Notamacropus eugenii: one gene and its partners. The protein of the gene in region 1 interacts with the protein of each later gene in a pairwise test. Links are inferred from orthologs where the notes say so. Each region holds a gene or a part of one and is shown in the gene's direction. Other genes may lie near its edges.

Region 1 (7,441 bases):
AGCTGCTGTCCCAGAGACCTTCCAGATGCCCGACACAGGGCACAGAATCCCCCGAAAAGGACAACCATCATGCAGCCCCTCTCCCCACTTACCCTGAATGGGGTCAGGGAAGAAAGCGGCAGGCCTGCCAGTCCCAACCGAAGCCTCCAGCTCCCCTCTCCAGGGACTTCCCTGGCATTTTCAAAAAAGAGAAATGTCAGCGTCAGCTCAGGGAATACCCAGCTATCTCGGCTTAGGGGAATGGAGAGAGGTGGAAGTGTGGAGAGAGAAACAGAGGTAGAGTAAGAATTCCCCCACTTGCAAGTCTCTCCCTTCACTTTCCTGCAGAGCCGCAGGTTTAGCTGAGTTGACTCAGGGAGGCCAGAGGACATCGAAGTTCTCAGTAACATTTCCTGCCCCAGCTTGAGTAATAGCTGAGGGAGCCGTTTCAGAAACTCAGATCTCTCTCATCAGCAGCAAGTTCTATGTATCTTTAGATTTGTGGCTGTGTAACTTGTATAATTCTGTGTGTATGTGTCACTGAGCTGTAGATCTGTTTGCCTGTGATTCTACTTTTGTGTTTTAAATCTGGAGACTGGATGGGATGATGGAGAGAGGGGGTGGGGAAGTCCTTTTTCAGTTAAGGATTGAATTAAATGGTCTCTAACGTGCTTTCCAACTCTGAAATTCAGTGATTGGAAGACTTGTGTATCTGTGAATTTGTAGTTGTTCACATGTATAACGCTAAGTCTCTGTGAATTTGCGTGTCTACTTATTTGTGTATGTGTAATTGCTTTATGTCTGTGGATCTGTGCCTGCCTGTGCAACTCTACTTGTGTGTGTGGCTTTTGTGTCTGTGCGTGTGTCTAGGAGTTCTGGGACAATCTGCCTCCGCCCCACTGGTTTGGCCCAGCTCCGGTGCCTGCCTGGTTCCTGGCCCGGAGGTCACAACTCATCCCCTCCCTGGAACCTCCCCCGCTGTTCCTCATCACTCTGGAGCTGCCTGCGAGGTCTTTGCCAAGGGCTAAGCCCACTCACCCCTTCAGCCCCCTCACTCCAGACTGGCTCTAGGGACAGCTGAGCCGGTTTCTGCTCTAGAGAGGGGCACAATGGCCCCAAGGGCATCTCGGACCTTATTCCTGCGGGGCACAGCAGTTCATTCGGTCTTTTTTCTAGGCTGGCTGGGTTCCCAGAATGGGGAAAGGGGGAGAAGCTGTCTCTCGCTCCTGCTACTCCAGAGGCTTTCCGGAGGAAGTGGCCAAAACTCCCAGGGCTCAGGAATCTGAGGAGAAGGGAAGGTTTGGGGGAGGGGGGGGAAGGAGGACCCTGGGGCGCTGGAATCTCTAGAGGCTGGCTCTGGGGAGAACTCTGCCACTGACTTGGTCCTCTTCCTTCTCCAGCAGGGCTGGGACCAAGATCCAGGGCTCAGGCCTGTGAACGATTTCTTTCCCAATGCCCAGTATGGTGATGTAGCCACGCATCGGTGAAGCGCCTCAAGAGGCAAAGAACCACGAGGAGGAGGAGGTGGGGAATTAGGCCACCATGGAGCCGCCTCCGGCGCTCCAGGTTGTGCTAGGGAGTGAGGTGATCGCTCTGCACTACAACTACACCGGCAAACTGAACGGGGCTCGCTATGATCCCGGCAGCGGCTTGCGCGCAAGTGCTGCAGTCTTCCTGGCAGTGTGTGGCCTCATCGTCCTGGAGAATCTGGCGGTTCTGCTAGTCCTCTGGCGGCACAAGAAGTTCCATGCGCCCATGTACCTGCTTCTGGGAAGCCTGACCCTCTCCGACTTGCTAGCCGGCGCCGCCTACACGATCAACATCCTGTTGTCTGGGGCCCGCACCTTGCACCTGTCGCCCGCTCTCTGGTTTGCCCGCGAGGGCGGTGTTTTCGTGACACTGGCTGCCTCGGTGCTCAGCTTGCTGGCGATAGCGCTGGAGCGACACTTGACCATGACAAGCCGTAGGCCGGCGCCCACACACCGGCGGGGACGCACCCTGCTGCTGGCGGGAGCTGCGTGGCTGGCGTCCCTGCTGCTCGGGCTTCTTCCTGGCCTCGGCTGGAACTGCCTCGGCCGCCTGTCCCAGTGCTCCACAGTGCTTCCCCTCTATGCCAAGTCCTACGTGCTTTTCTGTGTGCTTGCCTTCCTAGTCATCCTTGTGGCTATTTTTGCGCTCTATGCCCGCATCTATTATCTGGTGCGTGCCAACGCAAAGAAGTTGCAACTTCGGGCTGCGTCCGGAGGGTCCCGCCGCCTGCCCAAGTCTTTGGCGCTGTTGCGCACGGTGACCGTGGTACTGCTGGCGTTCATCTTGTGTTGGGGACCACTCTTCTTGCTTTTGCTGCTGGATGTAGCGTGCCCAGCTCGAGCCTGCCCAGTACTCCTGCAGGCAGATTACTTCCTGGGCCTAGCCATGGCCAACTCGCTGCTCAATCCCATTATCTACACGCTTACTAGCCGGGACCTACGCCGTGCGCTCCTGCGCCTTTTCTGCTGTTACCCGTGCTGCTGCTGCTGCTGCTGCTACAGGCCCCTGCGCCCAGGGCCAGGTGGTGGTGAAGGTGTGGCCAGCGTACGCCTCCGGCTACCGCCTATACTGGAGTGCAGCACCAGCAAGTCGGAACGTTCCTCGAACCGACATGAAGTCGACACGAGCGTCTCCACAAGCAACGCCACGCCCACTCCAGTTAAGACTTAGGTGCAGAAAGTCACAGACTGACACTTTATTCCCCAATCCCTCTATAGGACCCAGTCCTCTCCTTCTGCACTATTTTTAGATTACAGGTTGTTTTTATTGTTGTTTGAAAAATAAAGTAATTTGTATTAGAAAGCCTGAGTATCGGGGAACGGACACACCTCGGAAACCTAGATCTCGAGGAGAACCTGGCCTGAAATTTTGAAGTCCTCATTAGAAAAACCCAGAGTCGTCAGTGTCAGGTTAGGTTCTAACTTCCTTCGCTTGGAACTCCAAGTTAGCCACCCTACATAAGCGATAAAAGGGAAGAGCCCTTGCCAAAGACTCAATCTCTCTGCTGGTCAAGGCTTGTGGGAAAATCTTTGTGCTGCCCCCATCTCATGCCTGGCTGATCTGTGCATACGCTAACCCGAATCCAAGTGTTGCTCTTATTTTTCCCATAAAATAACACCTAAGAGCTCTACCACGATCAGTCAGTCCCCTACCCTTCTGAGATGCAGATTGCACAGCTCTGACCTTAGAGTCTCAGTTTCTAAATCTGATCTACACTTCGCTGCCCTAGCCTACTAGCGTCTGCGCGCCTCCACCTCCCGGTAGCCCCCGGAACTGCAGAGGACCTAGGTAGCTTTGTTAAGGAGGCTGGAAACCCAGAGATGGGCGGGCGAGTTGGGGGGTAAGGGGAAGGGAGAATTCCAGTTGCATCTTGGCTCAGGTCTCAACCTCTCCTTAGATTCCAAGTTTTAGTTATTCCAAGTCCTGTCCAAGTCTGTGGCCTTGAGTTACTTGAAACTCCTTCCCCTAATCCCAGGCGATCCCTTTTAATGCCTTGGAACCCCGGGATCTTCCTCTAAATCCGCTTAGATTGAGACCCTCGGATTTACAATGATCCTGCCGCAGCCCTGGCCAGAGTTGGTCCTTTCTATTACACCCATCCTTTCCCTTCCCAGCCACCAGCATCCTGTGGATCCTTGGATTCCCAGGTCTTTGATACACTTCTTATCACCGAAGCAGAGGGAGGCTTCCAAGAGTAGAGAGGCACCCAGCTCCTGGGGACTCTGACCCCTGGTCTAGGACACCCGTGTCACGCCCGTCTGGGTAGGAGCCGGAGTCACCCGCAGGGCTGGGAGAGGAGTCGCCCTCTCCTTTTTCTCCCTCCCTCTAGGTGTGTTTCGGGGATGGGGGCGGGGTGGAACTGCCGTTTTTCTCCAAAAGTTCAGGCCTCAGTGAGTGCGGGCAGGTGCCTCGGCGGTGGTGAACAGCACGTGCTTTGGGATCCTCAATCACTCTCTACGCCCGGCCTAGGAAAGGCAAAGGCCTGGCTTCAGGTGGCCGGAGGAGAGGGGGTCAAGTGAGGTGTTGAGTGTAGCCGCGCTAGCCTGGAAGGAGGGGCGGGCGAAGCATCGAAAGCAGCGAAAGGTTTGCCAGCCGCAAGGGCTGCTTCTGGGGCAGGGCTGGTGAGTCACGGACAAGCTGGGCCACTGGGGTCGGTCCAAGAGGCAAAGTCGGACATCCCGAGAGCTTGTGGTGAGTCCTGGGGCCAGGGGCCCATGAAGCCCCAGCCGAGGTCGCATCACGCCCTGGGCTTCCGGGACAGGCTAGCCCCCAAGGGCGCTCAGACTCCCCCCAGCGCCGGGGTCGGGGAAGGTAGCCCAGGGGAGGCCCTCCAGCCTCCGCCTCTGTCGCCAGTCACACGAAGTAGCTCCGTTTCCACGCTTTCCTTCGCGCTTGGGTTACCCAGGGACGACCCTCGGACGGGGGAGGGGAAAGAGGCGGGAGCAGGGCCCCTCCCCTACTAACCTAGCCTCCTAACTCTTTCTGGGGGAGCAAAACCAAGCGTGTCCCCTTTTCCCCTTGCGCTGGCTGGAGGACCCGGCTATGGGCGACCCCGTTGGCCGAAGCCCGGGTGGCGGACCAAGGGACTCTTATTCTGACAAGGCCGGGGCGCGCGGTCTGCTTAGTCACGGTGACTTTATCCTCCCCTCGCCCCGCCCCTTCTCCTCCCCCCCTCCCCGCCATCTCCCTTCCACCGCTCCCCCCACCCCCATCCCCCCCGCGCGCCGCGATGGAGGCGCCCGAGCCCGGGAGGCGGAGGCGGCGGAGGAGGAGCAGGAGTGCGGCCATGGCTGGGTGAGTAACGCGGCCGCTACCGCCGCCGCCGGAGCTCGCGCCCACGGGGCTGCGGGAGGCCGCGGCCGGCAGGGGCCCTGCCCCGAGCCGGGACCAGGCAGCGGGTACGGCGTTTCAAGAGCCCGCGACCTCGGTGCCTGCTCGGGTTCGGGCTCTGGCGCCCGGCCGGGGGGAAGGCCGCTGTGAGGGGTTCGGGGTGGCGGGCCCCGGATCCTCTTTGCAGCCCGGGGCCCGCCTGGCGGCGCGGGTCGAGGCTGTCTGGAGACAGGCGCACCCTTACCGCGGGCAGGCCCGGCCCGGCGCCCTCCCGGCCCGGCGCCGCTTTGTTTCCCCACGTCGGCCCGGCCTTCCCCGCCCGCGCCGGGTTCCCTCCTTCGGAGGGCGGGTTCTGGGGCTCAGGGCCCGGCGCTGGAGGGGCCCAGATCCTATCCCGGGCTACCCCAGGGCCTGCAGAGCCAGTTGCGGGCGGGCCGGGCCGGGGCAGGAAGTAGGTGCGCAGCCATTGCGCCGCCCCAGCCTCGGGCCTCGGGCCGGCAGGCCGGGCCCCACCGGTGACATTCGTGCGGCTGCCCCGGCTTTGTCCCCTTTGGGCGGCCCGGCGGCCCGGGGAGGGTGTGGGGGGAGGTTCGGGAAGGGAAGGAGCGCGAGCCCCGACGTCACATAGCTAGGAAGCTGTCCCGCCAGGCTGGAACCTGGGGCTTTCCTCCAGCCGGGGCTGGGCCAGGGATGACCCAGAGCAGGGGCGCAGAGGGAGCCACCAGCCCCGAAATAGCAGGACAGGAGTGGAAGGCAGGGGTGTCACATACGAGTTAGGTAATGTGGGGGGCGCCTGGTAGGGATGTGGGGGGTGCCTGGTAGGGATGTGGGTGTCCACTATTTAGACAGAAAGGTATCTCTCAGATATTTAGGGTAGTTGTAACACTGGTTTGGGACCATCTGCTTTTTGCACTTGGAGCCAGAGTTTGGAGTCTCAGGAACTGGTTTTGAATTCTATCTCTTACCACTTGTGCATTAACTTCTCATATCCTCAGCTTCCTTATCTTTAAAATGAGGTTGACCTCTGGGGTCTACGATCCCATCAAGGCTCAGATCCAGACCAGAGAAGCCTCAACCAGGAGTCTGGCTGGGGAATATACTTATTATCTATTTACATAGCCCTTTTAAGTTTTGCAAAGTACTTTACACAGGTTGTCTCATTTGAAAGAGGCTCCACCCAGGCTAGGATTGCTACTTGGAGTGCCAGCTGATATTGATAGGGCTCATTTTTAGGTTGGCATTCTAAGCACCTAGGGTGGGTGGAGGCTGGCTGCTCTCCCCTGGGATAGTCTTCTTAGCAAAGGAGAGAAGTTTCCCCAGGAGAGAGAAGCAAGCCCATGGAGGAGTGGGTTCTCCCTACCAGGACTGGCACCTAGGGCCTGATCACCATCCCCTCACCCTCACTCCCAGGTGTGTGATTCCAGGCGGTGGCAATGTTTTTCTAGAGCCTGATGAAGCCAGTGTCTGGGCATAGCAGGGGTGTTCCCTGTGCCCATTCTCTCCCCCTTCTGTCCAAACGCCCTGGGGGGGCCGGCTATGCGGTGATGTATGCCACGGAGTGCAAGGCGGAGGTGACACCCTCCCAGCATGGCAACCGGACCTTCAGCTATACCTTAGAGGACCACACCAAACAGGCCTTTGGCATCATGAATGAGCTTCGGCTCAGCCAGCAGCTATGTGATGTGACTCTGCAGGTCAAATACGAAAATACACCTGCTGCCCAGTTTATGGCTCACAAGGTTGTACTCGCCTCCTCCAGCCCAGTTTTCAAGGCCATGTTCACCAATGGGTTGCGGGAGCAGGGCATGGAAGTGGTCTCTATTGAGGGCATACACCCCAAGGTGATGGAACGACTCATAGAGTTTGCCTACACTGCCTCCATCTCCATGGGGGAGAAATGTGTGCTGCATTTGATGAATGGGGCTGTCATGTACCAGATTGACAGCGTAGTTCGGGCCTGCAGTGACTTTTTGGTGCAGCAGCTGGATCCCAGCAATGCCATTGGCATTGCCAACTTTGCTGAGCAAATTGGCTGTGCTGAACTCCATCAGCGTGCCCGGGAGTACATCTATATGCACTTTGGGGAGGTAAGTGTGTATATGTTTGGTGGCCTGGGAGTTATCAGGTGGTAGTGGTAGTGAGTGATTTACTTTCTGGAGATAACTCTAGTCCTGTGCCTATCAAAACATCACACCTCTGGTTGAGGTGTATAGAGTCAGAGTGAAAAAGCATAATTTGATGGAGTCTGGCTGCTACCTGTACTTGTTCATTTGTTTAATAGTACTGCCTGAGCTTTGGGGAGGAGCTGGGAGCATTCTGTTTCCCTGTGTCTCCACTCAGGGGTGGCCCCACTGAAAGCAGGAAGTACACAGCTCCTGATGGTGGTAGTCCAATCCCAGGAGGATGGGGGGGGGGGGGGGGGCATCGCTTTGGACTGCAGTCAAGAACCTCCTTGCTCCCACTACCTCTCATCCCCTCTACCAGGTAGCAAAGCAGGAGGAATTCTTTAACCTATCCCACTGCCAGCTGGTTACACTTATCAGTCGGGACGATCTCAACGTGCGCTGTGAGTCCGAGGTCTTCCATGCCTGCATCAATTGGG
Region 2 (6,862 bases), on another chromosome or scaffold:
ACTTGTTCCTCTACATTCTTTCTAGAGCCAATAAGACTAGACTGTCATTCAGCCATAGAGTCAAGACACCATTATTTGCTCTTTATTCAGCTGAAATTTTAGTTGACAAGACTACTTGGCTTCGGCAACAAGGAGATCAAATAAAGAAGGAACCCCAAGGTACAAAAATATTTACAACTCTATTTTCTGGTAGAAAAGAACTGGAAATAAAAAAGAGGTGCCTATCAATTTGGGATTGGCTGAACAAATTATTGTACATGAATTTAATGTAGTAGAAAAGATAATTGTGGACATCTTAAAAAAGGGATTAGTAGCCAGGATGTGACAAGGGGGCAAGGGATTAGAAGGCAGAAACTATTCTTAAGACTGACATTTTGCTCATGTTACTCTTGGCCTCTTCACCTGTGTTTTGTTTTTGTACTGCAGAATGGATAAAATGGGGAGGGAGGAGGGGAGATAAAAAATATGGGCTTTTTGGGGAGGAGTGATAAAAGAAAATAAAGAAACCAATAACAGCTTTAATACTTCAGAAAGGCTTCTCATATACTTTTGGGTTGGGGGGGGGACGGTGATAAAAGAAAATGTGATAAAAGTATGATAGAAATGTGATATGTGATAAAAGAAAATAAAGACACCAATAACAGCTTTAATATTTCAGAAAGGCTTCTTCTCATATACTTCCCAGACTGCCACATTATTCCTCAATTAATTTCTTTGCCTTGGCCCACTGGATTTGAATTTCATCTCTTTTTACTGAAGTTAGTTCAAACAGGAATATTTTGAAAAATATTTTTACCATCCTTTCCTTTCTTTCTTTAGGTGATAGCTTTACCTCCTATAGAAGCATGTTAAAGAAATCTCCCTTTTAGTTCAACAAAAATTATTTTTCTAGTTTGAAGTCCTTGAGGTTACATACCTCATCTTTCATAGTGTCTTCCCTTCACCATTCCCTCCCTTGGCACAGTTCTTGGAACATAGTATGGCATCATTAAATGTTGGTTAAATAACAATGATTTTTCCAGACCTTTAGGAGAGTCTAGAAAAAGTCAAGAACAAATGGTAAGGCCTAGAAAACAAGTTAAGAATGGGAACCAAATATAAAACATACCTCTTGTTTAATAAATATCATTGGCTTCCTCAACTCCCAATGATATGAGCTAAGAGCTAGAAAGTACTAGCTTAGAAAATACAAGACACCCTCTTCTTCCTCACTCAGGATGAATTAGGGAGGATTATTAGGAGAAAGGTTGGCTCAGTCCCTTAGTGGAGCCAAGGAAGGAACTGAGTAATTTTAGGGGAAAATTATTGTTAATCTACTATTAACTCAGAAACCTATTATAATATAATGAGACATTTTTTACTTCCTATAAATGCTACTTTCAAATTGCCGGAGAGCATACGGGGGGGCAGTTAGGAAGAGCTGAACACTTTGGACACTTCTTTAAACTGGAAATCCTTGGCTTTGGAAATAATCTTAAATTAATAAAATTGTTTCTGCCAGGTTTGTACCGTAAGCTCAGAGTTTTATTTTTTCTTTGCCAACCCAATTACACATACTTATATAATTTTTGCAAATAGATAAGCCAGAATAGACCACCATGGTTCATGGAATACTTTAACTGTCAGAAGACAAAATAGGCCTGCTTTCCCTCATGTGCTAATAGCATTACTCAGCACAGAAGTCACATTCAAGATCCCTAATCTTCCCACATTTTTTCTTCCCTTGTATGCATCTCTCAGGGTTTGTGGCTCCTATCATTTCATCCAGTTCTCAGTGTAAATGAATATATTTTCAGAACATCAGTCAGCCAAAATTCCACTGCATGGATCAGAGATGTTCTTAAGAATTCCTGGCAAAAAAGATATGCAAAATTTTGACTATTTGAATATATCACTGACTTGAAGGATTGTCCTATAACACAGGCCATATAATCTGTGCAGATAAATCCATGAAACTATCCAGTAGGTTGGATTTCAATAAGTACTGTTTAAAAATCTCAAACTCAAGTAAGATAGTCTTTTGGGAAAGGGGCCTGCAGGAGCAGGATGAACAGTATTGCTGGTCCTAGCAAACAGATTCTTAAGTCATTTTTACTGAGCACCTGTGTGTATAAAAATATGTAAAAATACAAACATACATGCATGGATTACATAAATATTGTACACACTATATATACATATATGTATGTATACATACACACAACTTAGTAAACAAAAAACACTTCTTTATCTCTCCACTCTTCAAAAAAATAAATCCCTAGGGGGCATTTATAATCTCAATGAGAAGACTCCTATTACATACCAGGTACTTACTTGTGAAGGTACTTTGTAAAGGCAAAAATTAAGCTTCCCAGCATTCAGGTTACATTCTATCAATTCTATCAATATTATACATTATCTAACAAAGCTTACAGTCTATTGATATTATGTATTACATTCTATCGATATTATGTATTACATTCTATAGTAGCTTTTCCAAGGTCATACAAGATACAGTAACAACTGATAACTTACATAAGCACTTAAGAGTTTTTAAGACTTTCCATATATATTTTACCAAAACATTATAAGGTAGGTACTAGAAATATTATCCCTAGAGAAGAGGAAAGACCCAGAGAGGTTTTGAGAGACTTGCCCATGATCATATAAAAGTCACATTAGAAGTGTATCTTTATACGACTTCCCGTTTCCCAAGTCTAGAGCTCTACAACACTAATTCAAAGTATTACAAAGCGGGTACAAAGGACTTAGAAGATTCAAGGCGTGTGTGGAGGTAGTCATTTCCTCTTAAGGGCATTACAGAAGGCTTAAAGATAGAAGCAGCATTTGAGTCCAATGAATAAAGTGGATATGGAACACATGTATTCTACCTAACAGTTACGCATGGCTTTAAGGTTTGCACAGCGTTTATACTCAATCTTGTAACAAGACCACCACAAAGACCTTTTGAATTATTATGTATACCACGACCAATTTACAGATGAAGAAACTGAGGCCTAGCGATGATTTGCCTAGCTAACACAAGTCAAAGACTGGATTTAACCCAAGTCTGCGGTACCCAAATCTCAACACTTTTACCCATCCCGCCGCACAAGTTTTCTCAAGTATCTTCATCCTTTTCTACTTCTTTTCACGCATGCCAGAACTGCACAACCTCCCCAACCACAGGGCATTCTGGTCCCGACATTTCCTATTTGCTTGACCCACGAGGCCCCAGACCCAGAAATGACTGCAATTCCGCGAGTCCCTCACTCTAGAGCCAGAGGCCGTGACGTCACGGAGGCCGGGGGCGACGTCACTGAGGCGGCCCGGAGCGCTCTCCTCCCAGGCCTGCAAGGCGCCATTCCCGGCGCGCAAGGCAGCGCCCGTAGCCTAACTGGCTCAGCCGGGGAGCGAGCTGCGGCCGACCAACCCCATAGATCCCCGGAGGATACTCGAAGTCGGGCCATGGGGAGCTCACTGCCTGGAAATCCGGAGAGAAGCAGACGCTACCACCTCGCACCACCACGCATTGCCCTCTAAGTGCCCACTCCTCACTGTCCTGACGCGGCACTGATCGAAAGCTCGCGAGAGTCTTAGGGACAGGTTCTTTTTCACTTGCCGTCTTCCACGCCCCGGAAGAGGTGGTAGCTCTTTCCCCCCCGCCTCAACCCCCCTGCCCTACCTCACAAGGCAGCGCGGCCCCAAATGCGACCAATCACCGGGCCCGTTGTTAGAGGCCGCGCGATGAGCCAATGGAGTGCAGCAGCGCGCGCCCGAGTTCCTGCGACCCCTCCCCCTTTCCTCTTTCCTCTGCCCCCCTCCGCACCCAGCCCTTTGCTGCGGAAGTGATGTCACAGGCCCCATGTGAGCGGATTGCAACACATGCAGCTGCCTGGAGAGAGGGAGCCGGTGTCCTACGTCAGAGCCGCCGCCGCTGCCGCCGCCGCCGCGGAGCCGCCGCCGCCGGGGAGGAGCCGCTGCCACCCGGGACTGGGCCCTTAGGTGAGGGCTGGGGGGGGGGGCGGGAGGAGGAACCCGAGTGACTGGGGCCGCGGGGTACAGGCGGCTGGGGGGGGGGGCCCGGGGGGAGAGAAGGGCCGCTCGGGGGCAGCGGGGAAGGGGGCCGCTCTGCCCCGGCGGCGGCGCTAACTCTGTGGTCTTGGTGTCTCCGGGCCCCGCCGGGCCGCTCTAGGGAGGAGGAGGCGAGAAGATGGCTGACGATCCCAGCGCTGCCGACAGGAACGTAGAGATCTGGAAGATCAAGAAGCTCATCAAGAGCCTGGAAGCGGCCCGCGGGTGAGCGTCGCGCCGCGCCCGGGGATCCCGGGACCCTCCCCCCACCCCCCGGCCCGCCTAGCTCTGAGACTCCCCTCGGGAGAGCCGGCCTAGCCTTCCCGGCGCCGCATGGCGGGCTGTGGAGAGCCGGGCCTGAGAGGGCTCGGCCGGCCCCAGGGGCCGCCTCTGGGTGGGGCCCCCAGCGTGGGCCTCTCCCCAGCCCCGGCCGCCCCGGCGTCCACCACTTCCCTCCTTCCGGCCTGTCCGGGGCACCGACCCCCCTCCCCATTTCCTGCCCCGCAGACCTGGGTCTTCCTCCTGGTCTCCCTCGGCCCCTGGAACCCTTGTTGGCCCTGGGGACGGGGCCCCGACGGCCCCCCGGGGGGGCAGAGGGGACCGCCTCCCTGCCTCCGCCTTTCCTCGACTCTCTCCTCATCTCTTCTTCTCCCTTCACGCTCGGAAGCCTTTAGAGCCCAGATGGGGAGGCCATTTTGACGAGACCTGGAAGGAAAGTGAAGTTGGTTCGGGACTGTAGAGAGCAGCTGATGAGGAGGGGGGACTCAGGCCTCCCCCTGCCTCCTATCCCCTGCAGCAGGGCAGCCGGCCTTGGGGGACCTGCTGGGGCTGAAGTTACAGCAGAGTTTGGGGGAAGGCTTTCCCCGCTCCTCATCCCGGGATGCTTTGAGGTGCTGCTTCCAGCTGCTCCCCAGGAACTCCTAGGTGGTAAAAAGAAAGAGTTGGCAAATATGTTTTTAAAGGGGGTCGGAGTTTTTGTTAGACACTGTGTCTACTGAAAATAGTGTACAGTTGGGTCACGTTAAAACCATCCCTATAGAGTTTGAGACTGGTATTGGTAAGAGAAAGGATGTAGCCAACTTAAGAATGCTCTTGTTTTAAAACAGATTCAGTACAGATTTGAGTGGGTTTTGAACGTTTACTTCATGAAATTTGGTAGGAATAAGGGAGTTGTTTGGTTTTTCTGGGGGAACAGGAATTTGCTTGATTTAAAAGCTGCTATTCTTTTTTCAGAGCACAGTTTGTAAAGGTTTCTAAAGTGTCCCATTCCTTTCATAGTTGTAAAGGAACTTTTGCAAGGGGTGAAGATGATAATTCTTTGAAGCATGTAACATTTTTATATACATACTCAGTGTTATATGTATCGACATTTTTGGAATGGTAACTTGATCACAGCCATATGGAAAGTTAGTTTCAGAGCAGGAATTAAAAGTTCTGACTCCCAGCACTGCTCCACTGCTGTCATTATCCTCTAAGCATTCTGTTTTGTGTCCCCATTTCCCCTTCTTAGTGGTCTTTTGTGAAGTAGGAACAGAACATACTAAGGACCTAAGGACTGCAAATATCTTTGTGTTAAACTTTGTTCTTAGTTTTGGCAAAAACATATGGTCATGTCAGAATGAAGCTTCTGAAATTTAGTTGTGATCAAGTGGTTTGGACTGTTGTACTTTTGGGATTTTTTTTGTTTTATTTCTTTCTTGTGAAAGAATTTGGGGGAAAGAGTTAGAGGAACTGGGAATATTAGGTAACTAGATCATTGTTTGTTTACTAGTTTGATTTTTCTTCATCTTTGAATCTCCTTGAATATTCAAGATTAGTTATGGTTTTAAAGTAATTCTACATGAAATGATGATTCCAGGATAGATAAAGTAAATTATTCTCCATTTGTTAGATTCTTTCAATAAACACTCATTCAATTAATGCTAAGGATTGTGTTAATTCTTTCCTTATATTGGAATTAACTTTTAACTGATGGGCCTTTAGCAATATTTTTAGTAGTCACTTGGTTTCAGAGCTGTTTTCATTGTAAAGGGTTAAAACTGCACTTGGCTTGTAGGTTCACTTAGTCTTCATAGTTTTAGACAACAGTTTATTTCAGCCTATTTGCTTCCCTAAATATACTGATTTAAACTTTTTACATGCTTTGAAGGCAACCAAAAAGTTACTTCACTGCTGTAATTTTCCTATCATCTGAATAAGGTAACTTGGCTTAGTAATATTAGTTTAGACTGCTTTCTGCTTGCTGTTTTCAATTCTTAAATTTGTTTCTAGGTATGTCACCTTACCTTAAAACTTTTTTCATAGGTTGTAAATATATCCCCTCTTTTAAAACTTAAGAGTGCAAGAGGGAGGCAGTGTTAATCTGTAGTGTAATTAGTAAAGTGTATAATATGAGTAGCCTTATCAACAAATGGAGTTTGTGAATCAGGGCAGAATCAATAAAATACTTGAGATGCTTCATGGTTGGAAAAGGGTTTAAGATGAGTGTGTGATACCTGAGGGAAAAGGGAGAGTGTACAAGTTAGACAAAACTTTTCAAAGATTTGTTGTTTTGGAATAGAACATGTGTCTTTTCCAGGTCATAGGGAGAGTTAATTGACTTTATCAAAATGTCCAGGTGAAACCCTCCCACCCCCAAGCAAATGCAATTTGACTTGATGCCTTTTTCTTCATGCATCTAGAATTTTAGTCTTATCTTGGCACAACAAAGTGTAAAGTCTTTGACTTTCTTGGATCTTAGAAGACTTTTGAAAGTTGTTCCTCTTTGATTTGATATTTGATTGTATGTATTTGTTTCTTCAGGGAATAT
Region 3 (7,209 bases), on another chromosome or scaffold:
AATGGAAAAACTGTCTGCAGCATGTATTTTTATAACCTAGAACTTGATGAGTTCATTACAACTGCATGTCTAATCAGAGTAGACAGAACTGAGTTCCCATAAGTAACTATTTTGTCACTGCCTAATTTGAGCATGGTGTTCCAAGATGACTGAATTATTTACTTTGCGATATATATGCATGTGTCTGTGCGTGTTACACCCATGTATATGTAACAAAAGTTTAGGAATTGCTTTCTCTTCATGTGAGAGACTTAAGTTATTACTGTGTGAAAGATTTACTTAATGATCAGTAGGAAACTTCCATCCTAACATATACTAGCAGCCTTCCTATACACTTTATGTAAGATTGAGTAGCATATAAGATCTTCAAAAAGCTATTTATTTGTGCTATTTTGGTCTCTATTGAACAAGAACAAATCTGGATATTCTCAAAAGTAACCTTGAAGATTAGGCTATACTTGTCAGTACCTTTAGTATTCAACAGATTTTTTTTTTAATGACCCAATTGCCTTTGTCAGTAATTTAGGGAGTTGGAAAATTTTAAAGGAAGAATATTTCAAATTGATAAAAAGTGACAACAAAGGAGAATGAAACTTTGAGGCTTGTGAGCTATAATCTCATTTATACTTACAGTTGAATATTACAAGGGTCTTGGTTGGGATCACTTGTCTCTTTCCATGTCTCCCAATGGCCATTTTTGCTTATTGTACGCTTATTTATAAAATAAAGTTTAAAAAAGCCCTTAGTGGTTCCAATGGATCTGTACCGATATGTTGTGCTGCCCTATTTGAGAAAGTATGCACATGGATGACGTCGCATGCCTACTGAAAGTGATATAATTCTAACAGGTACACCCCCTCCTTTTGCTGCAGCCAAAATGGTCTCGTCTTCTCAGCTATATGGAAGATGGGAGGATGATAGAGATAGTTCAATTCCAAAGCTACTGCAGTAGTCCAGGGCCTGAACCAGGGCAGTTCCCAGGAGAAGGACATGGAAACAAGCTTTGTTGTGGAGGTAGAACTGACAAAAGTTAGCACTGACAAAAGTTAGCACCTGATTGGATAAAGGTGGTGAGGGAGAGTGGTAAGTTTTTTTTGAACATGGGGTAATACTGGTGACCTCAACAGAAAAGTCCGGAGGAGATGGATTTCTTGGAAAGGCAGGTGAGGATGAATTCTGTTTGGACATGTTGGATTTGAAATGTCAGTTGGCCATCCAGGTAGTGATCGTCAGCAGGAGACTGGTGATAGAGGAGTGGTGTTCAGGAGATGTGGGCTAAATATGTAGATTCAGAAGTCATCTGAAGAAATAAATGAACTGATATATGAAATTGCAAAGGTAGCTAATTAAGAAAGAAAAAAACTCAGATCTGAGCCTTGGGAGGAGGAGGCGCATGGGATCAAGGGCACAAGTAGAGGATCTAAGTCTTGACACAAAGAACTACTTCCTCTTCAAAGACAGAAGTAGACAGGGTAAGCTGTAGAGGAATTTTGAGTTACCTTTTGACAGATACTTTAGTAAATAGGATTGGCAGTTACTGCTGAGAGAATGGGATATAGAATGTCTAAAGGACAAGCAAGGAGAGGGTAGATTTGGAACAGCTGCTGAGGGATGTATGCTAAATTAGGGGAAAAGAAAATGATTTCCCTCAAGTGGTAGTTCACTTCAAAAGGCTATTAAGAGGATGGCAAGGAGCCTGGAAATCATGTCATACAATGTTTGTAGGATCTCTTTAATCGCTTAACAATTGTCCTGAATCACCAGTCTCTACCTACATGGCCCACTCTGATTCCTTACTTTTCCCTGAAATTGCCTTGTTTTGTTGAGGGCACCACCATTCATGACATCCAGGTTTATACGTTTATAATCAGCCCTAATTAATTATCTCATTCTCATAGCCCATGCAGCCACTGTCTTAGTTCAGGTCCTTATCTTTCCTTGCCTCCAATATTTGCAATGTTAACTAATTGGTCTCCCTGCCTCTTTTTTTTTAAGTAAAAGTCTGACTACCTGGTAAGAAGTTTAAATAGTTCCTTATGGGAATACCTAGGTGGTGAAGTGGATAGCATGCTGGGCCTGGAATCAGACAGACTCAACTTCCTGAGTTCAAATCTGGCTTCAGACATTAGCTGTGTGACTGGGCAATCATTTGCCTCAGTTTTATCATCTGTAAAATGAGCTGAAGAAGGAAATGGAAAACCACTCCAGTATCATTAGTAGGACCTGACTGAGTAACAATTGACACTAGCACCTCAGCGCTTTAAAGTCCTCTACAATATAGTTTCAGTTTATCATTTCAGGTTTATTTCATATACAATAAAGAACAAGCATTTTAATCTTACAGCTAAATTGGCTTCTTAATTTGGCAATCCATCTCCTGTATGTATGTCCTTGCATTGGTAACCATACCTCAAATGCACACCCTTTTCACTTCCATTTTTAAAAATCAGTTTCATTAAAGTCAATTCAAGTATTTTTTAAAAAGATGCCTTTTCTGAGTATTTTAGTTCTAGGTGCTTGCTCTCTTCCTCATTAAATTATCTCATTTACTTATCTTGTAAATTCAATGCTTTAAATAGAATATAAACTTCAGGGCAGTTACTGTCTTTGTATCTTCAAGGGCCTGATATAGTCTCTTGCACACAGTAGATAATGATTTAGTTAAACTGAAATTAGGGAACAGTAGTTGATAGAGCTCTAAGAAAAAAAATTATAAATGTAACGTTTATTTCAAGATCTTTCATATAAATACCCTATAGGCTCTACTGTCAAATGTTTATCCCAAGGCCTCTCAAACTTGTAACAAACTTAACAATCAGCCTCTGGTTGCATTCACTGGCGCATGAGACATCTGCTGTATTTTTAAAGCCTTAATTATCACCACCTGGTTGTGCAAATCCACTCAAATATTTTGGAAATCTTCATCTTAATCTTTAAAACCCATTATGTATGTTGTTCAACCAGCTTACATATTTATGGGAGGCTCCTGCTTTTGAATTCCCACCAATTTTAGATTTTACAAATGATACTACCGATTAAAAATTTTTTTAAATTATCCGTTAACTTAAAACACAACTCATCAGCAATGACATTGCACCTTCCATCCCCAGCTAGAATTATAAGAAGGCATTTCTGCTTCCCCCTTAATGGTAGTCCCTTCCATCTTTGGTTACCTCTGATTTATTCTGCATATTTCCTTTTGTACTGCATTATTTGCATGTTTTCTGTCCCTGAGACTCAGCTTATTGAGAAAAGAGGCTATTTTTAGCTGGTTTTGTATCCAGTACTTAGCACAGCCCTTGGTATGTGGACGTTGTTCAGTCCTGTGGGACTGTAAGTTTTCTTGGCAAAGATGCAGTAATGGTTTGCCATTTTTTTTTCTCCAGCTCATTTCACAGATGAGGCACTCCTGCAAACAGGGTGAAGTGACTTGGCCAGGGTCACACAGCCAGTAAGTGTCTGAGGCCAGATTTGAAGCAGGCACAGCACTCTATCCACTATTGCCCTTAGTGAGCAGCTATGCTCAATAAAAAAAAAAGACAATTATTCCATTTTGCTAGTTTAGTTACTGGAATTTCGGTTTTGGTGGAGCCACTGCCTGGCTATGTGATTACCACAAGTCACCTCCATACTCTTCCTCAACTACAAAATTAGAGAATTAGACTAGGTAACAGACTCTAAGTGCCCTTCCCTGTTCCCAGATTCTGTTGGGCTGACTTGCTCTGTAAACAAGTTGCTTCCCTTGGCAATGAGCCCTATAGATAGTCCATATAAACTTGTCACTGGCATCTGTCATGGACGCAGACAGGTACACCACAATCTGTTGGGAGAATGTAGTAGGCTGTGCAAAGCAAAAATTCAAGGTTATATCTATCTGTCTATGTCTATATCTATCTATATATGTGATGCAAATAACGCCACAGATACAGGTGAGATTTGGGCTGAATCTTGAGAGCTGGATTAGTATTTCGGCAAAACACGAGAGAGGATTACAGAAAAGTGATAAGCGTGGAAATAAGGCCATTCTGGCTGTCACAGAATGAGTTCTGCCCGTTCAAAATACGTCAGTTTCACTGGGCGTATGACATCCTCTGGGTATATCTTGGCGGAAGTGAGCTCATAGCCCGCGGGGGACATGGCGCACGCGCAGTGCAGAACGCTCGATCTGGGCTCGTGGAGGACGGGGCGCATGCGTAGCTTGACTGGAGGGGGAGGGGGAGAGGAGGAGACACGCGTTGCGACTGAGGGCGCTTTCTAGGCTGAGGTGTTTTCCCGCGCTTTCTCTTCCTGGCGGGCTCAAGTAAAATCTTAATTTTTTTCTTTTTCGTGCTTCGAAGTTGCCTTAAAGTGTTGGAATCCAAGTTCAAAATTCTCCCACCCTTAACCAAATCCCGCCCCCTCCCTGGGCCTCAGCATCCCGCGCGTGGGGGAAATTGCTCCTCCTCCAGGTGTAAAGTCTCGGAGAAGTTCCCCCCTCCCCCAGTCTCCTTCTGTCCTCCTTCTCCTCTCTCCTCCCCCTCCCCTCCCCCTCTCTCCTCCCCCTCCCCCTTCCCCCTCCCCCCTCCCCCCCCACTCTCCTCCCCCTCCCCCACCCCTCCCTTTCTCCCCCTCCCCCTCTCTCCTCCCCCCCACTCTCCTCCCCCTCCCCCCACCCCTCCCTTTTTCCCCCTCCCCCTCTCTCCCCCTCCCCCTTCTCTCCGCCCCCTCCCCTTCCTCTCCCTCCCAGGATCTTAGCGAACTTTTTACCTCCGTTCCCCCCCACCCCCCCACCTATCTGGGCCTGACCCCATCCAGGCTTTTCATAAAAGCCGAACAGGATTCTAGTTCTAGAGCCGGAAGGAACCTCTGAGGCCTTCCAACGCAACCCCCTGCTGAGGTCCGTCCCAGGACCTTAGACTTGGAAGTGGAAGGCCCCGAGCCGGTCCTGCAGCCGCCTCCCCTCCCCCTCCCCAGTGTGGACGGGGGGATGTGACCGAACCCTCCGGGCCTTCCACTCTCCTGTCTATGAGTTAAAGGCTGAGCCTCCCGCTCAGTGACCCAGTCCAGGACGGAGCCTCGTAGCTCCCGGGCCTTGCGTGGGAGGACACGCTTGTGGTCTGCGGCTTAAAACCGAGCGTGATTTTGGGGCAAAATGTGTCAATTATTAAAAAAACCCAACCCGGCCTTCGGCTAGTGATGGGGGTGGGGGTTGGGGGGCTGGGCCTAGCCGGGAAGAACCCGGCGGTAAGAGCCGTGGCCATCCCAGTCGGACGGCCGCGACCGTGCTCCCTGTTCAGCTGCTGACCGTCGGTGCGGTCCCGGCCGCAGTTTGTGCGTGTCCGTGGGGGGAAAGGAAGGGAACAGGCCCTTGTTTTGTGCCAGCTGGGTGCCAGGCACTGTGCAAGATAGTTCTTGGATCCCCGCAGCAACCCCGTGACGTCGGGGCTGTTATTGTCTGGGGAAAGTGAGGCAGAGGATGCGACCCGCCTCAGGCCAAGAGCGTCTGAGGCAGGATTCGAACCCCAGGCCCAACTGGGTCACCCGGTCACCCAAAAAACAAATAAATAAGAAGAGAACGTGCTGGGTTTGATGTCAGAGCACCTGGGCGGGAATCCCAGTTCTGCCAGTTGTTACTTAACCTGTCTGGGTCTCAGTTTCCTCATTTAAAAAATGGGGATAAATGAAAATTAGATGGTCCCTAGGGTCCTTTGAAGGAAGCTCCAAATCTGCTTTTCTGTGATACCGTCACAGAGGAGTAGAAAGAAGGGAGCTCAGATCTAGTCTGTGTTTTCTAGATGAAGACAGGCCCGGACTGTGGAAGAGACATGAAGAAAGGCATGGGTGACCAGTGGCAGAGCCCAGGCTCTCGCATTTCAGTGTAACGGGCTTCCCATTGTAAGACGTTGCTGAGGGCAGAGGAAAGTCAGTGAATGCTGACTGCCCCCAAAGTGCCAGTGGGCCTGTTGGTCTCTTCATCCTTCCATCTTCCCGGCTCTAACTGCACATCTCATTTGATTCCTCCTTAGAACTCCCTTGGGCGTTTTGGAGCCCGAGAGAGAGCCATTCCTACCGAAACATGTCTATATGTGAAGACATGTTGCTCTGTAATTATCGCAAGTGTCGGGTCAGGCTCTCTGGCTACGCGTGGGTAACCGCGTGCTCACACATCTTCTGTGACCAGCATGGCAGTGGGGAGTTCAGCCGGTCTCCAGCCGTCTGCCCGGCCTGCAACAGTACCCTTTCTGGTAAGCTCGACATTGTTCGCACCGAGCTCAGCCCCACCGAGGAATACAAGGCCATGGTGCTGGCAGGGTTGAGACCAGAAGTTGTTCTGGACATCAGCTCCCGAGCCCTTGCCTTCTGGACCTACCAGGTAAGTTGTGGCCGTTCTCCACCTTTGTAGAGATTATGTCCTGAGCTGTCTGTGGACTCTTTCCTCTTTGCTAATGTATGTGTGTTTCTTCTCTGTTAAATCATAAACTTTTTGAGGACTCTGATTCTTTATTTTGAAATGCTACTGTATATTTTTGAACATGTTATGTACTATATATGTATTTGGATTAAAACTATCCAGAAGTTGCTTTTATGATGGTGTTTGCACATTCCGTAACAATTTGAAGTAACATCCCTCTCTTATGCTGGTATAGCGTAGTTGAAAAGGAATAATGTACTATTTATTCTCTTAGGGTGAATGAAATCTGGCAAATCTGTCATGATAAATATGAGATATAAAGGAGTCTGGGATTTCTCTGGGATTTGAAAAATTAGAATGATGGTGGAACAAAGATTCTTCAGGGACAAAAGAGGATCAGTAAGAAAAAGTGGCCTGATTACATTATTTAGCAATTATAATAAAGCTCCCTGGATCTGTAATTCTATATTGTTGAACTTTGAAATGAAAGCAGATTAAGTTAACCTTGATCAAAGAATGGTGACCAGAAATCACGATAAATCCTATGAGTTAACACTATAACTACATTTTTACAAAAGGATGCTACGGCACAGAAAAAGACAGTAACATGACCATGTATTACTACTTATGTCAAGTAGTTCCTACCTTAGATGCAGAAGTTTTTCGCTCTGGGGCACAACCTTAACTGTGAAGGTGGCCTATCTGATTGTGTATATGTAGCACTGGACATTGGTGAAAAATTGATAATAACAGTTTATTGTATATGTAAAAATTAAGCAGCATAAATAAATGGAATATTGACAAGAGCAGGGCAGCTA
Region 4 (7,594 bases), about 1.5 Mb from region 1:
GGCCAAACCACAATCTCCCTCCACCCTCCACCCCTCAGATTTCAGCTGGGACTGTCTAGAATGAAACACTCCACAGGACTCCTGCAGGGGGTCAGTTTCTGGTAGGGGACAGCTTTCCCTGAACCAGCAGAAGAAAATGGCCCACAGCCATAGGCCTCAGGAAGGGGCCCTGAAGATGGAGAAACCTTGGGGCTTGTGTCTAAAAGACAGAAGCCATGTAGGCTATTCTCTGACTGTCTGGGGTCACTGACACACAGGGATTCTGAATCATGACCAACAGGTCTGACCTGGACAGCAGAGATGTTCAGGAAGTAGTCGGCCAGCGTTTTTGCATTGTATTCTGGACTGTCGGGATCATCCACCACTGGGTAGTCAAAGCAAAGCACATCCCAGCAGAGATCCATGGGCGGGTTATACCCATTGGGCAGGACACCTAGGACCAGGTGGTCAGGTTGAGGGTCCCCACACTGCTCTCAGGAGCTCCCCCAGCCTCAGGCCCTATTTCAAATCCTTCCTTCTTCCACCTCCAGTTCTCCCCAGGCCCTGTGCACACCTGACAAACTTCAGGGATGAAATGGGGGAAAAAACTCTAACCAGTGAAGAGGTCAGCTTGAGGAGGTCGTAAGTTGGCACTGGCCCTCCAGACCTGTTCCATCTCCTTCTGAATCTTCCTCCTCTGCTTGTCTTGATAATCCAGACGGCCAAAGAAATAGCCATCAAAGCCCATCTGTGGGGAGGGAATCAGAGAGATGTCAGGGCCTGAGGTTCTCTCCAATATATGTGGAGAGGGGAGGGAAGGGTCAGTGGGTAGGAAAGGGTGGCAAGATAAAGCATAGTTAGAGAACACTGAGGCAGACCTGGGCAAAGAGGGATGCTTGCTCCCGTGAGTGGCCGAAAGGGTCAATGTGCCAGGCGACTCGGGGGCGGCCACAGTCCCCAAAGGTGTCTTTCAGGAACTTCAGCCCCAAAGTCATCTGGTCAATGATGGCTGCATAGTATGTGGTGGCCTCGTCATTCATGACCCAGCCTCCATTGGCAAACTGGAGCCTCCCTATGGAGTAGAGGATGGGGTCAGAGGAGTTCCCCCAAAGGAGGCCTCAGGTACCAACTCCTGCCCCCTGCTCTCAGGAGGCCTGGCTGCAAGAAGCCTAGAGTGGGCACCAGGCTGCCAGCCTGCCCTGGGTCATGGTAGGTACCTGTAAAGGATATGGACCCTACTGTGGCAGCCCCCAATCCTCACCCTGGCAGACCAGCTGTCGCACTTCCTCCTGCATCTGGACTGTCTGCTGGTTCCACCAGTAGGAGAAGAAAGCGATCTCAACGTAGATGAATCGACGTGACTCGTTGGCCAGCAGAGCTGATACCACTGAGTCCAAGATGTACTGCACACCAGCATGCTGAATGCCATCTCGAGCTATAGGCATTTAATGAAATTCAGGTTATTCACATAGTCACTAAACACTTACTGCGTGCAGGGGCCTGTCCTTGGTGCTACAGCTACAGAAATGAAATGAATCAGAGTTCTGAGGAAACAATATCTTCAGCTGGAGCGGTGGGGTGGATATCATGACAGGAAGGCTTGTTGGGATAGATGTGGGTAGGCAGTGGAGACGGAATGAGCAAAAACCCAAAGAACAGAAGACCACAGAATAAAAAGGGAGAATAGAAAATAACGCACTTTGGCTAGACTAGAGTATATAAAGTAGAGCAATGTGAGACAGCTGGGACAAGGAAGTAGCTTAGAGTCAGTCTATAGTGGGCTTTGATTGCCAGGATCAGGAATTTATACTTTCATTTGTTTAGGCAATAAAGAGTCACTGAAGGAGAACAACGTGATCTGAACAACCATTAAGATTAATTTGACTATGAGAGAGAGATTGGATGGGAGGCAACAAACTAGAGACCAGGGAAACTGGTTAGATTAGACAATAGTCTAAGGAAAAAGAGATGAGAATTTGACATAGGGTGGTGGCCCTGTGCATGGAGAGGACCCTGTGCAGATAAAAGACACATGAAGATGGCAAAAGTGACAAGACTTGCCAGCCAATGGGAAGCTGAGAGGGGGCAAGGAGCCAAAGATAAGTGAAGCTTGGTGACTCCTAAAGGTCATATATGGCTTCATTGGAAGAATGCTGTACTTGGGCATAGTCACCCTGGGAATTACCTGGTTAGCCCACAAAGGTGAGAGGCAAGTGCTTTTTTAACCTTAAAATGCTATTACTACTACAGGGATAACATCAGCAGAAACAGAAAAAGGGAAAGGCAGATTTGGAATAGGAAAATGAGAATTTAGTGCTGGTTAATGTTCAGTTTTTGGTGCTGGTCAGATGCTTCATAAGTATATAAGGGTGGGTGACTAGATTTCTGGAGAGTGGTTGGGCCTGGAAATAAATATTTTGTTGATTCCATCTGGTTCATCTAGGTCATGGGGTAATCATACAAATATAAAACTTTTGTATACCTATTACTGTATTATAATTACTGCTTTTTTTTCTGTTCAAACATAAAAGCAAAGTGTAGAAATTGCAAAGAGGTCTATTTGAGCTTCCTAACTGAGTTATCCCAAGGAGAATGGGAGCCTCAGAAGGTAGGAGGCTTTCCCTCTTGGGACATTTTCACAAAGGCTAGGTGACCACTTCTCCTATATTGTAGAAGCGATTCTCCCTTAGGTAGGGGTGGGACAAGTTGGTTTCTGAGATCTGTTCCAACTCAGATTATGCAATTCTCTGACAACTGAAGCTATGGCAGTAAGAAAAAATCATGAGGCAAGAAAGAGAAAGTACAGGGAGAGAAAGAAGCTGAGGGCAGAACTTCCAAAGGAATCTAGTAGAGGAAGGCTTCGGATCAGCTGACCGAGCCTTGGGGCCACAACAGCCTGTGGTCACTAGCACCCATTCCCTCCCAGCTTAGAAAAAAGATGATGGAGGCTCAGTGACCCAGAGACTGGACGACTGGACTCCTACTTTAGTCCCAGACTGCTCTCCCTCTTACCTCCGTAATAATACTGATCCACAGTCTTGAGCCAGCCGACATCATCGTGGGTATGGGGCAGGAGGTGCACATTGAGCATAGAGGGCTGGGTAGCCGGGCACAACTGGGCAGTGGGCAGAGACCCCCACCATTGGGGCTGTTAATCACCAGAAACACCACAGCCCCTGGCCAGCCCCACCTCTCCAGGTAGGGCCCCCAAACCACAAGATAGGGAGAAGGCATGGTGGGGTCATAGTTCAGGGTCCAGCTTCCTTGCACCCACCTCACTGCTCACGGGACTCCCTCGAAGGTAAGCCCCAGCAGCCCAGCGCAGGGCCCCCAGAGAGGGGAAGACGTACTCAACAAACATGGGGCGGTCAGGGGGCAGCCGCGCCACCCTTCCCCCACCCCGGCTCACTTCCCCTTCTCCTTCCCCGGCAGGCTCGGTCACGGGCTCCCCCCGGGCTCAGCGCCGCTCTCCCAGCCCCAGCTGCACGCTGCCCGGCTCTCACCTCATAGTAGTCGCAGCGGCCGTCCTCGGCCCCGGCCCCCACGCACAGCGCCGCCAGCAGCAGCAGCAGCCGCAGCGGGAGCCCCGGAGCCCGAGCCCGGCAGCCGGCAGCCATCGCTCGCCTTCCCCGAGGGCAGTCCCAGCCTAAGCGGCCCAGCTCCGGCCCCAGCGCCGCTACAACCCGCCCGGCAGCTCAGCCGCACGGCCCTTTAACCCTTCCTTCGTATGAGCCAGACCCCGGAACCGAGGCCCGACCAATGGCCCACGAGGGGGAGGGCGGGTGCGCCCCCCGACCGACCAATCAGGGGGCGCGAGAGGCGGGGCCCGAGAGAAGAGGCGGAGAATAAACAGAGTCCAGAGAAACTTTCTTACACATTTGTCTGTATTGGTTACTACAAGTAGTTACAAGCTGGGGAGCCCCGCAACCCCAGCCTCTGCCCCAGCCTGGCCTGCCCGGGCCCGGGGGCGTCCGTCCCCAGTCTCAGCCTGCTGGCAAGGACCGTGGCCCAGGAAGAAGGGCAGACACTGCGATGAGAGGCCAGGCAGGCGCAGGAACCTCTTCTCTCCAAGGTGCCTGGGGCAGGGAAGCTGGAGAGGAATTTGGGGATGGGGGACACTGACAGGGCCAGGGCCCAAGAACAGGCAATCTTTCAGCGGAGGTAAGGTCAGAGTAGGGACGTTCCACCGTGGACTCACAGTCTGAGGCCCCAGATTTGGAGCAGAGGCTGGGAGGTGAACATAAGAGTAAGGAATAAACCAGTTTCTGGCTTTTTCTTTATTCTGGCCCAGGAACCAATAGTAAACGCCCTAGGATCCTGAGGTCCAGGTTGAAGAGCTAGGAGATTGGTGTCTACCACGGGGGTGTCATAGGCTGGGGGTTCTGGAGGTAGGACATCACCACAGCAGAAATGGAGAGCCTGGGTGAGAGGAAAGAGGGTGAGGTTGGGGCTGGGCTCTTCGAACCCTCTGACAGGGAAGGAGAAAGGGAGGAAAGAGGGGTCAAAGACACTCCTCTCCACGACACTGGGACCCCCACCAGGGCTTTGCCCAGTCACCAGAACTTACATGAAGCTGCTCATCATCTGCTTGGTATCTTCAGAGCTTCGAGAGTTGGCAAAGCTGATGAAGGAACAGTAGACAGCGATCCAGGCACACCACTTCAACTGGGAAGGAGAGGCAGAATCAGGCTGGGCTGGAGTCTTCTCCCTCTTTTTCTAAGAACCCACTTCAAGCCGGAGGCCTGAGTCCTCACCCCAGGGGCATGTCTTCTCACCCAGGTGCCTGACCCTCCCCACCCTGCCCTTGAGCTGCACCTTGAGCATGAGGCCACACATGCTGAAGATCATTCCCAGCAGGTTCATGTAGTCCGGGGTCGGATCCTCCAGGGCCGGATTGTTTTCCGAGGCCGGTGGCTTGTACCTGAGAACACCAAGGTGGCACAGAAAAGGGCTTTGTCAGCCCATCTCAAAGCCCGAGAAGGAGAATCAACATACAGGCTGGCTTTCGTTACCCGGGCTCTCTAGGCTTGGGGGAAACCCAAGAAATCCCTTTCCCCCCCTAGATTTCTAAGTACAGGGAGCGAGTAGGCTTTCCCAGTCTGGGATCTGAAAGCAGGAAATCGTGCCAAGAGAAACAGCTTTTCCTCCCAGGATCTCCAAGCGCAGGGGAGACATATAACCAGCTTGCCTAACTCCGGCCCTAAGCGCAGGCTGGGGACTCAAGGCGTCAGCTTCCCCTGGGAAGGATCTCTAAGCGCAGGCTAGGGAGTCTAGGGACACAGCTTTCCTTCTTAGGATCTCTAAGCGCTGGCTGTAGTTGTGGAATGGGCTTCACTGCAGGGAAATCTCTGAACTTGGGGGGTGGAGGCGGGGCTGGCTCCTCACCTGAGCACCTTGTTGGGCCGCCGGGGGTCCGACATGTTGTTAGCGGACATTGCCGGGCCGGGAAGGGGCGGGGTGTGCGGCGGGGCGGGGTTGAGGAGGCTCGCGAACCACGGGTCCTGACCCCGCCCCTTCCGCTCTCGCCGCCGGCACTTCCGGCACCACACAACTCCCGAAGCGCGGGGGAACCCCTAGGATGTAACACTGTTGCCTCGGATGCTTTCGTTCCAGCTACCGCCCCGAACATGGCGTTCCCAGAGCCGAGGCCAACGAAGCCGGAGCTGCCTCGGAAATCGGTGCGGAGCCTGCCCTGCCGCCAGGGAGCCGTGCGGGCTGTGCGGTTCAATGGTCTGTGCCCTCCTGACTCGGGGAGGGAAGAGGGGGGAGGGAGGGGAGCGAGAGAGAGGGAGAGGGGGAGGAAGGAGGGAAGGGGGAGGGAGGGCGCAGAGGGAAGGTCGGGGAGAGGGAGGACAGGCTCGGACTCTCCTTCCGCGCAGTGGATGGTCGCTACTGCCTGACCTGCGGCAGCGACAAGTCACTGTCCCTGTGGAGCCCCCTGCGGGGGACATTGCTTCGGACCTACAGCGGCCACGGGGCCGAGGTGCTGGATGCTGCAGGGTGAGACCCTCCCCCAGAATGTGCCTCACCTTTGGGGCTCCGCCCCGGGGCCACTGCACGGAGGCCCCTCTTCTTCCCCAGTGGGAACGGGCCTCTTGTCCCAAATGTTTTCATGGGCCCATAAACCGTAAACCCTCAGGCGGCCTTCTCCCAGCCTCCGTGCCCCCACCTCATGCCTTCCTGGACCCCAGAGATCCACGGTTCTCCCACCCTGCTCCCCAGCTCCTTTGACAACAGCCGCCTGTGCTCTGGGGGAAGTGACCGCGCCGTTCTGTTTTGGGACGTGGCATCAGGCCAAATTCTTCGAAAATTCCGGGGCCATGCAGGGGTAAGAACGGGGAGTGGAGCACTGAAGGGAAATCCAAGGCTGGCCCATTCCCTGCCTTGGTGGGGTCCATGGCTGCAGGGATTCTTAGTCTTCTTCACCTCCCATCCCCAACCCTTCCCCATCCCTGCACCAAGTCCTGTCAGTACATCCCCTCCAAACTCTGAACTGACTTGATGTGAGGCGGAGGCCATCAGCCCTTACTGTCTACTGGCCTGCTGTCTTCAACCATACCATGCTATACCTCCTCTGCCTTCCAAGTCCAGTTTAGGGGCCACTTCTTCCCAAAAATCCCACCCCACCGGATCATTCCTCTGCTTATTCCCATAACCTAAACCCCCATACAATAACCCACATTGACCAAACATTCCTCTACCTGTATCCCACGCTGGCTTTACAGAAGGTGAACTGTGTGCAGTTCAATGAAGAAGCCACAGTGATTGTGTCTGGTAAGTTAAGAGTTCTGGGGGTAGGGAGAAGCTTCAAGAGCCTAGGTTCTGCCCCAGCTTCCATGTCACTGGGAGCTGGGTCTGGCTGCAGGCTCCATTGATTCAAGTGTCCGATGCTGGGACTGCCGTTCACGACGACCTGATCCTGTCCAGATCCTAGATGAAGCCAAAGATGGTATATCCAGTATAAAGCTGTCAGACCATGAGATCTTAGCAGGGTGAGTGCCAGAGAAAAGTAGGAAGACGTGCCTGGCAGAGACCAAGCAAAGTCTTGACACATCCAAGCCCCTTCTCTACTGTCTCTCCCCAGTTCTGTGGATGGACGCTCACGACGCTATGATCTTCGGATGGGAGAGCTGTATGCAGATTATGTGGGAAGTGAGCTTGGGGCACAAGGGGCCTGGGAGGGCATAGCTGGGAGCACTAATCCTCACCCTGCTCCTTCTACAGGTCCCATCACTTGTGTATGCTTTAGCAAAGATGGCCAGTGCACACTCATCTCCAGCCTTGACTCTTCCCTTCGACTCCTGGACAAAGACACAGGGGAGCTGCTAGGAGAGTGAGTCAGCCAACCGAGCAGGTGGCCTCTCATCTGTTCACCCATTTGTTCAATGTTAATTAAGCTCCTGTGTACAAACCTCTCCGGGCACAAAACACAAACCCAAAGAAAGCTATGACAAAAGGGGATGATGCATATCCAATTATAAAACATGAGAAATGTTTTATGAGATTGGTGAGAGAGGCACCAATCAGAAATGACTCTTCCAAGGGAGTCTGGGAAAGTTTCATAGCTGGAGATCATGCCTGGGTTGGGACTTGAATGGAGGAGGGGGATTTCAAC

The links.
Region 2: the proteins of KEAP1 (region 1) and ETF1 interact in binary tests that used the Homo sapiens proteins (3 or more experiments, as listed by UniProt). The two-hybrid records come from large-scale screens. The link is inferred for Notamacropus eugenii from reciprocal best matches to the Homo sapiens genes KEAP1 and ETF1.
Region 3: the proteins of KEAP1 (region 1) and CCNB1IP1 interact in binary tests that used the Homo sapiens proteins (3 or more experiments, as listed by UniProt). The two-hybrid records come from large-scale screens. The link is inferred for Notamacropus eugenii from reciprocal best matches to the Homo sapiens genes KEAP1 and CCNB1IP1.
Region 4: the proteins of KEAP1 (region 1) and WDR83 interact in binary tests that used the Homo sapiens proteins (3 or more experiments, as listed by UniProt). The two-hybrid records come from large-scale screens. The link is inferred for Notamacropus eugenii from reciprocal best matches to the Homo sapiens genes KEAP1 and WDR83.

Annotation. Positions count from the first base shown.
Region 1 is NC_092875.1:79,704,880-79,712,320, forward strand, and holds the start of KEAP1 (kelch-like ECH-associated protein 1), read left to right. Parts: upstream 1-4,435; 5' UTR 4,436-4,551; coding exon 4,552-4,803; intron 4,804-6,249; exon of another isoform or gene 6,250-6,284; coding exon 6,285-6,926; intron 6,927-7,323; coding exon 7,324-7,441. Other genes in the region: S1PR5 (sphingosine 1-phosphate receptor 5), read left to right, coding at 1,522-2,679. UniProt on the Homo sapiens protein: Substrate-specific adapter of a BCR (BTB-CUL3-RBX1) E3 ubiquitin ligase complex that regulates the response to oxidative stress by targeting NFE2L2/NRF2 for ubiquitination.
Region 2 is NC_092872.1:365,679,229-365,686,090, reverse strand, and holds the start of ETF1 (eukaryotic peptide chain release factor subunit 1), read left to right. Parts: upstream 1-3,847; 5' UTR 3,848-3,984; intron 3,985-4,174; 5' UTR 4,175-4,192; coding exon 4,193-4,278; intron 4,279-4,859; exon of another isoform or gene 4,860-4,977; intron 4,978-6,862. UniProt on the Homo sapiens protein: Component of the eRF1-eRF3-GTP ternary complex, a ternary complex that mediates translation termination in response to the termination codons. The eRF1-eRF3-GTP complex binds to a stop codon in the ribosomal A-site.
Region 3 is NC_092878.1:13,988,487-13,995,695, forward strand, and holds the start of CCNB1IP1 (E3 ubiquitin-protein ligase CCNB1IP1), read left to right. Parts: upstream 1-4,202; 5' UTR 4,203-4,300; intron 4,301-4,666; exon of another isoform or gene 4,667-4,876; intron 4,877-6,005; 5' UTR 6,006-6,055; coding exon 6,056-6,352; intron 6,353-7,209. UniProt on the Homo sapiens protein: Ubiquitin E3 ligase that acts as a limiting factor for crossing-over during meiosis: required during zygonema to limit the colocalization of RNF212 with MutS-gamma-associated recombination sites and thereby establish early differentiation of crossover and non-crossover sites.
Region 4 is NC_092875.1:78,242,265-78,249,858, reverse strand, and holds the start of WDR83 (WD repeat domain-containing protein 83), read left to right. Parts: upstream 1-4,644; 5' UTR 4,645-4,742; coding exon 4,743-4,758; intron 4,759-4,794; coding exon of another isoform or gene 4,795-4,900; intron 4,901-5,364; coding exon of another isoform or gene 5,365-5,414; exon of another isoform or gene 5,415-5,479; intron 5,480-5,496; exon of another isoform or gene 5,497-5,592; coding exon 5,593-5,709; intron 5,710-5,858; coding exon 5,859-5,979; intron 5,980-6,201; coding exon 6,202-6,307; intron 6,308-6,704; coding exon 6,705-6,753; intron 6,754-6,844; coding exon 6,845-6,971; intron 6,972-7,063; coding exon 7,064-7,312; intron 7,313-7,594. Other genes in the region: MAN2B1 (lysosomal alpha-mannosidase), read right to left, coding at 288-433, 595-727, 858-1,051, 1,241-1,414, 2,992-3,094, 3,483-3,596; WDR83OS (PAT complex subunit Asterix), read right to left, coding at 4,332-4,398, 4,547-4,644, 4,795-4,900, 5,365-5,414. UniProt on the Homo sapiens protein: Molecular scaffold protein for various multimeric protein complexes. Acts as a module in the assembly of a multicomponent scaffold for the ERK pathway, linking ERK responses to specific agonists.